Linked DNA regions of Callithrix jacchus. The protein of the gene in region 1 purifies or fractionates together with the protein of each later gene. This does not show direct contact. Links are inferred from orthologs where the notes say so. Each region holds a gene or a part of one and is shown in the gene's direction. Other genes may lie near its edges.

The links. Proteins that work in one complex are often made in the same cells at the same time.
Region 2: the proteins of WAS (region 1) and NCK1 purify together in Homo sapiens (affinity purification with western blotting; 4 studies listed by BioGRID and IntAct, with this or other methods). This does not show direct contact. The link is inferred for Callithrix jacchus from reciprocal best matches to the Homo sapiens genes WAS and NCK1.

Annotation. Positions count from the first base shown.
Region 1 is NC_133524.1:49,252,959-49,259,968, forward strand, and holds part of WAS (actin nucleation-promoting factor WAS), read left to right. Parts: intron 1-21; coding exon 22-162; intron 163-691; exon of another isoform or gene 692-826; intron 827-1,456; coding exon 1,457-1,543; intron 1,544-1,643; coding exon 1,644-1,746; intron 1,747-1,859; coding exon 1,860-1,901; intron 1,902-1,994; coding exon 1,995-2,048; intron 2,049-2,839; coding exon 2,840-3,014; intron 3,015-4,069; coding exon 4,070-4,112; intron 4,113-4,312; coding exon 4,313-4,466; intron 4,467-4,674; coding exon 4,675-5,081; intron 5,082-5,658; coding exon 5,659-5,773; intron 5,774-7,010. UniProt on the Homo sapiens protein: Effector protein for Rho-type GTPases that regulates actin filament reorganization via its interaction with the Arp2/3 complex. Important for efficient actin polymerization. Possible regulator of lymphocyte and platelet function.
Region 2 is NC_133518.1:47,382,852-47,387,107, reverse strand, and holds the start of NCK1 (SH2/SH3 adapter protein NCK1), read left to right. Parts: upstream 1-1,456; 5' UTR 1,457-1,540; exon of another isoform or gene 1,541-1,975; intron 1,976-2,283; exon of another isoform or gene 2,284-2,388; intron 2,389-3,762; exon of another isoform or gene 3,763-3,930; intron 3,931-4,256. UniProt on the Homo sapiens protein: Adapter protein which associates with tyrosine-phosphorylated growth factor receptors, such as KDR and PDGFRB, or their cellular substrates. Maintains low levels of EIF2S1 phosphorylation by promoting its dephosphorylation by PP1.

The DNA of each region.
Region 1 (7,010 bases):
ACCCCTGCTTTCCCCTCCCAGACGCTGGCCACCGCAGTTGTTCAGCTGTACCTGGCGCTGCCCCCTGGAGCTGAGCACTGGACCAAGGAGCATTGTGGGGCTGTGTGCTTCGTGAAGGATAACCCCAAGAAGTCCTACTTCATCCGCCTTTATGGCCTTCAGGTGACTCCCACCCCCCTACTGGACTTGCAAGCCAGTTCTCAACTCACAAACCCAGATCTGTCAAATCTGTGTCCATCTGTGTCCATCGCCCCAAGACCTCAGACCTGATTAATGAATCCCTGAGCCCCAGAACCAAAGACTCAGCCAGATGGCAAACTGTAGCTTGCCTTTCTAAGTCTACAATGACTGGCCTCAGCCTCCATATCAAAATCTCTAAAGCCCCCCAATTATTAGTATACTGCCTAAGCCTAATCTTTTCTACAAATTCCAAGAAATGAGCACTGTATTTATACCTGAATCTATTCTAAACTCAACATTTTGCATCCCAGGAATCCTTCATCAAAACTCTTGAACCCCAGATGTTTGCCAAGCTCCTAAGTCATAAATCAGTTCCCCAAACCCCAAACTTGAATATTCCATTGATCCTTGAACTCCACATCTGTCCTTTTAAATCCACAGCACAGACCCCAGAGTTCCCATATTAAAATTCCTGAACACTCAAATACCAAGGTAGTTTTTTTTTTTTAACCTATGTGTCCAAGGCATGAACCAGGCATAGGCACAGATCAAGAGCCAAGCTGGGATGAACAAGGGGTTGCTTTGTCCCTGGCTGATATGAGATGGGCACTACCAACCAGATGCCACTCTACCCAGGTCAGGGACACAAGGTAGTTCTTAAGAAAAAAGTCTTTTTCACAATCCCCCAACCTGAACTTTCTAGGTTTAAGCCCCAAATTCATCCTTCTAAACCCATAAAGATGGACTCAGCATAACTTCAAGATCCCAAGCCTGTCAAAGCTTGACCAAACTCCTAAGCCATGACTCTTCTCCACAAACCCCAAATTGCACTTACTTTAGCTGGACTCCCCACAAAACTCCCAAATCTATGTGTTTGAACTTCAAATCTCAACTCTAACTCCCAAATACCAGAATCCTACCTGTCATTAATTGGGGCTGGGGTGGCAGGGAAGGGCACAGATTGAGTCTCTGAATGAGTCTCAACTTCCTAAGACTAGAGTCCTAAATTATGAAATTCAAGCTCCCGAGTCCCACATCTAGGGCCCTGAACCCCAAATCCAAACCTCTCACAAAAGTGTCTGACTCCTAGATTGTACCCCAACTCCCCACATCCACACTGTTAGATTCCCCAGCTCTCTGGTACTGAGCTAAAAATCTCCAAACCAGACTATGAGACCCCCAAATCCAGACACCCTGCTCCCTGCCCAGCTAACAAAGGCCTGCCACCCCCGGCTTGCCTCAGTGCCACTGTGTCTCCCACCCTACACCTCTCCAGGCTGGTCGGCTTCTCTGGGAACAGGAGCTGTACTCACAGCTTGTCTACTCCACCCCCACCCCCTTCTTCCACACCTTCACTGGAGATGTAAGTGACCAACCAGCCCTTGAGCCTCACTTGGGTTTTGGAGAGGAGATGGGAAAGCTGCGGGGGACCTGGGAGGTGGCTGACCCCAAGGTATGTGCAGGACTGCCAAGCGGGGCTGAACTTTGCAGACGAGGGCGAGGCCCAGGCCTTCCAGGCCCTGGTGCAGGAGAAGATACAAAAAAGGAATCAGAGGCAAAGTGGAGGTGAGGAGGCTGCAGGGGAGGAAAGGAAATTGGGCAGAAGTGAGTGTAAGTATGGGAAACTAGAAAAGTCTCCTCTCATGGTTTTCACTCCCAATCCATCTGTCTATCCACAGACAGACACCAACTACCCCCACCACCAACACCAGCCAATGAAGGTGAGTCCTCTAGTACAAGTAGGGGTAATAAGGGGCTATCCCAAGAACCTGTGGCAGAGTTGTGATAGCTCTTGACACATCCCATCTTCCCAGAGAGAAGAGGAGGGCTCCCACCCCTGCCCCCACACCCAGGTGGAGACCAAGGAGGTGCGTGCTGATTCTTCCCTGTGTCTCTGGATGGATGGGTGGGTAGGTGGAAGAGTGGATGGAGGAATGAGCAGTTGGATGGGTGCCTAAGTGGGTGAATGGATGGGTATGTGGATGGATGAGTGGGTGCATGGATGTGGGGATCGATGGACGGGTGGGTGGATTCGTGGCAGATGGCTGAGTGGAGGGATGAATTGATGGGAGGATGAAAGTCTAAGTAGATAGATAGATGCATAAGTGGGCCGGGCGCTGTGGCTCACGCCTGTAATCCTACCACTTTGGGAGGCCGAGGTGGGTGGATCACCTGAAGTCAGGAGTTCAAGACCAGCCTGGCCATCATGGTGAAACCCCATCTTAAAAAAAAAAAAAGATAGATGCATAGGTGAATGGGTATGTGGATAAATGAATGAAAGGGTGTATGGATGACTGAGTAAATTCGTGAATGAGTGAATGAATGAACAGTGAATAAACGAGTACAAGACAAATTTGGTCAGTGAAGAAAGCAGGATGAATAAATAAATCAGTAAATGAAAATGTTAACAAATTCATTAGTCAGTGAGCCAGTGAATGATAAACCATGAGGGAATGAAAATAATGAATGAATCAGTGAATGTATGAATGGTTTGCAGGATCCACTCACTTCTCTATAGACCCTCCTTGAACCCTTCACCCACTCCCTCCATGACCATCCAACACACACACAGATTTCCCCAAGGCTTCTGTTTCTTGCCCCTATGCTTTGGTTGGTTGGTAAGTGGGTCAATGGGCCAACCACCCTATTTTCCCCACAGGCCCACCTGCTGGTCCGCTGTCCCTGGGGCTGGCGACAGTAGACATCCAGAACCCTGACATCACAAGTTCACGATACCGTGGACTCCCAGCACCTGTACCTGGCCCAGCTGATAAGAAACGCTCAGGGAAGAAGAAGATCAGCAAAGCTGATATTGGTGCACCCAGTGGATTCAAGTGAGAATCACTCCCCAGTGGGCCCATAGATTCCTGGGGCAGAGGGGCACATAAACAAGTGAACAGCTGAGTGGATGGAAGGATGGGCAGATGGCTGGGTGACTGGGTGGGTAAATAAGTGGATGGATAGGTAGGTGTAGGGCTGGGTCTAGAGAGAGGTAAATAAGGCAGTAAGTGTGAAAAATTTAAGGAGGTATTCACTCTTAGGAGCATGCAACTGTAATTCCTGACTCACTTAAATTTTACACCTCAGGCACCTCACTTGCCTCACCCTGGGCCCACTCTGAGTGGGCTGTTAGAGGAGAAGATGGGTGGGCAGGTGGATGAATGGATGAATAGATGAGGTAGATGATGGATGAGGTGGGCTGGTGGGTAGGTGGCTGAGTGGATGGGTGGATGGATGCATAAATGCATGGAAGAATGAATAGGTTGAAGAATGAATGGATAAGTGGTTGGATGGACGGGTTGATGGGTTGATGGGAGGTGGGTGAGTAGATGGATGGGTGAGTGGATGAGTGTGTGGACAGACTGATATGCAGGCTGACTGGTTCACAGACAAGGTGGATGGTGATGGACAGGTGGATAGATAGGTGGATGAATGGACAGTTCAATGGATAAGTGAACAGAAGTGTGTGGTTGCATGGGTAGAAAAATGAGTGAGTGGATGGATGGAAAAGTGGCACATGGGTAGGTAGATGGACAAGTGTGTGTGAGGACAGATTGGTAGACAAATGGGTGAACAGACATATGTGGGCAGACAGTTGCAGAAACAGATGTATGGGTGGATCAGTGGTCCAACAGATTAATGTGAATGAATAGGTGGACACATGCATGGGTGAATAGATGAGGAAAGAGGGATGGATGGATTGGCACCACAAACTATGGATCCCTTCTAATTCCATAACTCCTGCTCATACTCATTCACTCATTCAGTCTCATTTGTTAATTCTGGTCCCTCAGAGTCTTTCTGGGCAGGAGAGGACAAGAGGGCTTCACTACAAAGGGAGGGAAGGAGGGGCACTGAGGATTCACTGGAGTCTCTTCACCTCTTTCAGGCATGTCAGTCACGTAGGGTGGGACCCCCAGAATGGATTTGACGTGAGTAACTTCAGAATCTCTTGGACTCCACTAAACTACCCACCCTTCCACAGACCACTGCTGAAACCCCACTCCTAGACTCTGCCCTTCCCACCCGCTCTCAGATCCCTCGCTGGGATGGACCTGATGGACAATTCGTGTTGATTTTCTCCTCACCTTATTCCTCTACTCCTGCCCCTGGCCTTTTTCCTCCTGGGCAGGTGAACAACCTTGACCCAGATCTGCGGAGTCTATTCTCCAGGGCAGGAATCAGCGAGGCCCAGCTCACTGACGCCGAGACCTCTAAACTTATCTACGACTTCATTGAGGACCAGGGTGGGCTGGAGGCTGTGCGGCAGGAGATGAGGCGCCAGGGTGAGCCCCTGCTTCTATATGCCCCTTTCTCCAGCCCTAGCAGCTCACAGCTAAGAGATTCACTAAGTCACTCTATCCTTATGGGAGCACCTATACCGTTTAAATCAGGAGTTGGTCGTGGGGGGGATCCCATTTTAAAAATGAGCAAAACTAAGGCTCAGAAGGTATCAGTGAGAGTTACAGCTATGTGTTATTCCCCCCTCCACAGAGCCGCTTCCACCACCCCCACCACCATCTCGAGGAGGGAACCAGCCCCCCCGGCCCCCTATTGTGGGGGGTAACAAGGGTCGTTCTGGTCCACTGCCCCCTGTACCTTTGGGGGTTGCCCCACCTCCACCAGCGCCCCGGGGACCCCCACTCCCAGGCCGAGGGGGCCCTCCACCACCACCTCCTCCAGCCACTGGACGTTCTGGACCACTGCCCCCTCCACCCCCTGGAGCTGGTGGGCCACCCATGCCACCGCCACCGCCACCACCACCACCTCCGCCCAGCTCCGGGGATGGACCAGCCCCTCCCCCACTCCCTCCTGCTCTGGTGCCTGGTGGGGGCCTGGCCCCTGGTGGGGGTCGGGGAGCACTTTTGGATCAAATCCGGCAGGGAATTCAGCTGAACAAGGTGAGGACAGGCAAGATGGAGGATTGGGGGTCTGGGACTCTGGGGTGTCCTTTGCAAGTCAAGATACTGGGGGACTGAGGCCAGGACCGAGGAGAGTGCCAGGCCTTGGGGATTCAGTGATAGAGTTGAAAAGTTGCCGGGCACAGTGGCATGTGCCTGTAGTCCCAGCTACTTGGGAGGCTGAGATGGGAGGATCACTTGAGCCGAGGAGTTCTGGGCTGTAGTGCGCTATGCTGATCGGGTGTCCGCACTAAGTTCAGCATCAATATGGTGACCTCCCAGGAACGGGGGACCACCAGGTTGCCTAGGAGAGGTGAACTGGCCCAGGTGGGAAACGGAGCAGGTCAAAACTCCCGTGCTGATCAATAGTGGGATCGTGCCTGTGAATAGCCACTGCACTCCAGCCTGGGCAACATAGTGAGACACCATCTCTAAAAAAAAAGAAAAGAAAGAAAAGTTGATGGGGAGCCTTGAAGGGGACTGGAGTGTGTGGAAGGGAAAATAATGATGGAGGGGCAGGGAGAAATGCTCCTTTCCCAGGCCCTGAACCCTCTGTGCTGACCCCTGCCTGCTGCAGACCCCTGGTACCACAGAGAGCTCAGCACTGCAGCCACCACCTCAGAGCTCAGAGGGACTGGTGGGGGCCCTGATGAATGTGATGCAGAAGAGAAGCAGAGCCATCCACTCCTCCGGTGAGTTGATCCTGCCAGGGCCTCAAACCTGGCTCCCAGGGCTAGCACTGGCCTCAAAACAATCCCAGCAGTCACCACCAATACTGACATTAGTCCCATCTGTTGACAGCATTAACATGAATCTTGTGTCAGTCTCCTTTTTGACAATGTTAACATTAAGTCATTATGTGACAATAATATAATTAACTCCAACTTTGACAATAATATTAACATTAATGCCAGGGTGTGTCCACAATATTAAGGTTATTCCCTTATGTTCAGTAACATCAGCTGGCCGGGCACGGTAGCTCATGCCTGTAATCCAGGAACTTTGGGATGTCAAGGCAGAAGGATCCCTTGAGCACAGGAGTTCGAGACCAGCCTGGGCAATATAGTAAGACCTCGTCTCCACAAAAACTAGAATTTTAAAAAAGTAGTTGGGCATAGTGGCAAGTACCTGTGGTCCCACCTACTTGGGAGGCTGAGGTGGGAGGATTGCTTGAGCCTGGGAGGTCAAGGCAGCAGTGATCCATGATTGTGCCACTGCATTCCAGCCTGGGTGACAGAGATCTTATCTCAAAAAAAAGAAACATTAACCCACTATGTGATGAAAATATTATGAAGAACACCATTGTTGACAATAATATTAACTTTAAGTCCACGTGTCAACAGATTTATATTAATTCATTATGAGATAATAATCTTATAATGTAATATTTTTTCTTAAATGCTTTGAGACAGGGTCTTGCTCTGTGTCCCAGGCTGGAGTACAGTGGTGCAATCATGGCTCACTGCAGCCCCAACCTCCCAGGCTCAAGCGATCCTCCTGCCTCAGCTCCCAGAGTAGCTGGGACTACAGGCATGGACCACCATACCCAGCTCATTTTTGATGCTTTTTTGGTAGTGATGAGAGCTCACTATGTTGCCCAGGTTGTTCTGCAACTCCTGGGCTCAAGTGATCTGCCCACCTCAGCCTCTCAGAGTGCCGGGATTACAGGCATGAGCCATCATGCCTGACTGTTAACCTTATCTTTTTATGATAATGTTACTATTACTCTCTTAATGTGTCAGTAATACTGTCACTAATCATTATATGATGATAATATTAATCTCAACCCACTAAATGATAATAATACAATTAACTCCAATTTTGACATTAATGTTAACAACATTAACCACAGTGTGTCCACAGATTAAGGTGAATCTATTATATGACAATATTATAGGAACTTCATCTTTTGACAATGATTTTTTTTTT
Region 2 (4,256 bases), on another chromosome or scaffold:
AACAGACACGGTTCCTGATTCAATGGAGTTTACAATCCACGTAGGGATACAGACAAACCATTTCAATAGCTCGGATGGAGAAAATACCTGTGCTCAAGGATACCTAACTCGGCAAGCTTCCCTGAGGAGCGACCCTAAACTGAACCACAAAGATGGTTAAGAAGAAATGAGGCAGCAGGGTGTGGTGGCTCATGCCTGTAATCTCAGTACTCTGGGAGGCCGAGACAGGCGGATGAGAAGGTCAAGAGATGGAAATCATTCTGACCAACATGGTGAAACCCCGTCTCTAATAAAAATACAAAAATTAGCCGGGCGTGGTGACGCGTGCCTGTAGACCCAGCTACTAGGGAGGCTGAGGGAGAGAATCGCTTGAAACCAGAAAGCGGAGGTTGCAGTGAGTCGAGATCGCGCCACTGCTCTCCAACCTGGCGACAGAGCGAGACCCCGTCTAAAAAAAAAAAAGGTTACTACGGTTTGCAGCACACTTACTGATGCTTCAGCCAGTGGCTGGAAACCTTATAACAGGCAGACCTAGCTCCGAAGATCCTCTTCATAACACTACTGTCGCCAAGACTGGAAGCTGCCCAAGCACGAGGGTCCTTTTAGAGGGACCTCAGACTCAGTTTATTTTGGTCTGTGCCTCAAATTAAACACAAGTCGGCCTGGCGCCGTGGCTCACGCCTGTAATCCCAGCACTTTGGGAAGACGAGGCAGGCGGATCACGAGGTCAGGCGATCAAGAGCATCTCAGCCATGGTGAAATCCCGTCTCTGCTAAAACACAAAAAATTAGCCGGGCGTGGTGGAGGCGCGCGCCTGTAGTCCCAGCTACTCAGGAGGCTGAGGCGGGGAATCGCTTGAACCCGGGAGACGGAGGTTGCAGTGAGCCGAGATCACGCCACTGCACTCCAGTCTGGGCGACAGAGCAAGACTCTGTTTCAAAAAAAAAAAAAAAAAAAAAGCCACATGTCTTACATTTCTCCCAGGTCCCAATTTTCAGGTCTTTTTATTTGTTTTTCTTTGTCCCTCCCTGCTCCTAAGCACCTTCGGCTGGGAAGACATTCTTCAGGTGCAGAAACCAGGGGGAGGCTCCCTGAACAGTGGGGGTTAGCTCAGGACGCTGTCATTTTTGCTGTAGAGTCTCTCCTGCAGCGCTGGGGCGGAAGGCTCAAAGTAACCACCCAGAGCAACCGCAGAGGGAAAACCGAAGACAGTCGTGGTCTGGCCTACCGCTTCTCACCCTCTCGCTGTCTTCTTTCCGCCGCGCAGCCTCAGCTCTTTCCACAGTACGAACGGCGCTTGATTGACAAGTGGGCCCGCCCAATCCCAGTGCGGCACAGACCACTGTCGCGTCAAGGACCGGGAAAGGGGGCGACTGAACCTATCAGATTGGGTCGGGAGTGGGTTTCCTGCCCGCGCGGATCCGCCTGCCCACCGCGCGTGCCCCGCCCCTCTCCCGAGAGCTACGCGGCGGTAGAGCGCAGGCCTCGTGCCGTTACGGTCATCACGGCGACCGCGGCGGCGTCCCGGTGCCTTCCTCAGGTGAGCTGGAGCTAGCCGGCACGGAAGACGGAGGGTGAGATGGCCTTGCTGGGAGGCCGACACACACACACCCCCTCCTTCAGTCGGCTGTCCGTCCTCACAGCCTGTTACTCGCTGCGTCGCTTCCTCTTCCCCCGCTGAGTTAGCCCCGGGGGCGCCGTCTGCAGGCTCGGAGCTGAGCCGGAGGGGATGCGGAGGCTGCTCGGCGGGGCCCGGACGTCTGCACTGGGATTCCGCGAGACCCTTGGGGCTCTGCCCCAGGGAGCGCGAACCCGTGGCCTCCTTGTCAGCCCCTGGAGCGCTGCGTCGGGGTTAGAGCCCGGGCGACCGCCCCTGCGAGGCTGGGAGGTCGAGTGTGCGGCTCGCTCGCCGGCTTGTCTATTTTCTACTGAAAAAGTCCTGTTGCCAGCTGTGGCGTAATCCAAGACCGGGAAGGTAGGGACGTGGTAGAAGGGAGGGCGCTCTCACCTCCAGCCCGAGAGGAGGAGGGGGCGGCAGCCTGCGCGGTGCTGAGGGTGGACATATTCGGGACGCGCCCTCGCCCCTCCCCCTACCCGCCGGCGGTTTTCTGGTCCGGGGCTTTGACTTTAAACGTCTGGACCTGCTTCACATTCGTACGCGAGTTGCTGGGGGTGTAAACTTTTGACTTGAGTTGTAATATGTTTGGTAAAAAAATTATCTCGATAGTTTTGTAACATTTCTTGTATGTTAACGTATAAGTTAAATTTGCCGTTAGAAGCTCAGGAAGCTGGATTTGTTCAGGGCTGAGGACGTAACGGTAGGAAGGCTCTCGGTGTCAAATCGATGGATCTGGAGTCAACTGAAAATAATTCTACACGTTATATTAGGTAAGAAGCCTTAGGAATTGTGAAAGAATGAGGTTAAGAAGAATTTCCAACTCCTTTTTGGGAGGGGAGCAAAGCAGCTCAATGCCCCAAAACGGGTAAGTGTTGCCAAGAGGTCCTCATTTTTTTTTGGTTGTTGCTGATTTTTTTTTTTTTTTTTTTTTTTTTTGAGACAGAGTCTTGCTCTGTCGCCAGGCTGGGGTGCAGTAGCGCGATCTCGGCTCACTTGCAACCTCCGCCTCCCGAATTCAAGCGATTCTCCTGCCTCAGCCTCCCGAGTAGCCGTGCTACCGTCGCGGGCCATTACCACCCCCAGCTAATTTTTGTATTTTTAATAGAGACGGGGTTTCACCGTGTTGGCCAGATGATTTCCATCTTCTGACCTCGTGATCCGCCTGGCTCGGCCTCCCAAAATGCTGGGATTACAGGTGTGAGCCACCGTGCCCAGCCAAAGTACTCATTTTAAAAATCTTTCTTGGATAGACTTACGGCAAACCAACAATAATGATTTCTTCAGCACCTGGAAAGCGCTATGTCTAAACTCTCAGCCTTCAGCGAGGTCACACAGTAAATGGGGAAATAACCCAATAAGAAAGTTTTGTTTGTTTGGTAATTGTCAACGTTTGTTCTTTTCTTTTTTTAAAACACTTTATTTTCTTGTGGGGATGGAGTCAGTGATGTTCTTAAATAGGCATTCCATTCACAACTTGATAGTAATATGCACTGGTTAATAAATGGTACTTTCTTTTCATCTTGACCACAAGCTCTGAGGCTTTCTTCTTTGGGAAAATTATGGTCTGTGGGAATTGGCTCTAATATCCATAAAGATAGATTGCAGAGTGTTCAGATCTACTAGCTGTTGGTTCATGTATTAAATTTTTAAATGTGTACTTATTTTTCTAGGCATTATCTTTTGTCCAGGTTTCTGTAGTGCTTTCAGGTCCATGTAAATAAAACTTGAAACCTACCTGTAATGTTTTGTTAGTTACTGAATGAGACCAGGCGAGGTAGTTCAAGCCTGTAATCCCAGCACTTTGGGAGACCAAGGCGGGAGGATAGCTGGAGTCCAGGAGTTTGAGATCAGCCTGGGCGATATAGTGAGACTCTGTCTTTAAATTAGAAAATTAAAAAAAAAATTTAAAAAGGAAAATAAAAAGAAAAGTGATATTAAGTGATGCTTTGTGTTTCTTGGTTTCTTTGAGATGGAGAAACATAAAGACTTGCTCTGTTGCCCAGGCTGGAGTGCAGTGGCATGATCTTGGCTCATTGCAACCTCTGCCTCCTGGATTCAAGCGATTCCTATGCTCAGCCTCCCCAGTAGCTGGGACTACAGGTGTGTGCCACCACACCCAGCTAATTTTTTTTTTGTATTTTTAGTAGAGACGGGGTTTCACTATGTTGGCCAGGCTGATCTTGAACTTTTGACCTCAAATGGTCCGCCCACCTGGGCCTCCCAAAGTGCTGGGATTACAGGCGTGAGCCACCGTGCCTGGCTGAGTTTCTTTTTCTTTTGGATCTCTGAGGACTTTCCTTTCAAAGCTGAAGGTATGTTTGATGTGATTATTACAAATCACTTGTCAGGAAGAATTGACGTAATGAATACAGGTGCAGTTCATTTTTAAAATTATGGTTTAATAATTTTTAGAATTTACCTTTATAATATGGAAAAATACCATACATTCTTTATCTGTACTGGAAAATTAAATGATTATTTCATTGATAAGTAAAATTGAAGGGAACTCTTGAAATCACTGAGCATTTAACAAATTCTCTGTAAATACCTTGATGTTAAGAAGACCACAGGGCTAAATATGACATTTAAAGATTAAGACAACAGTTATGTCTGGCTGATCCTCACCTGAAACTGTAAC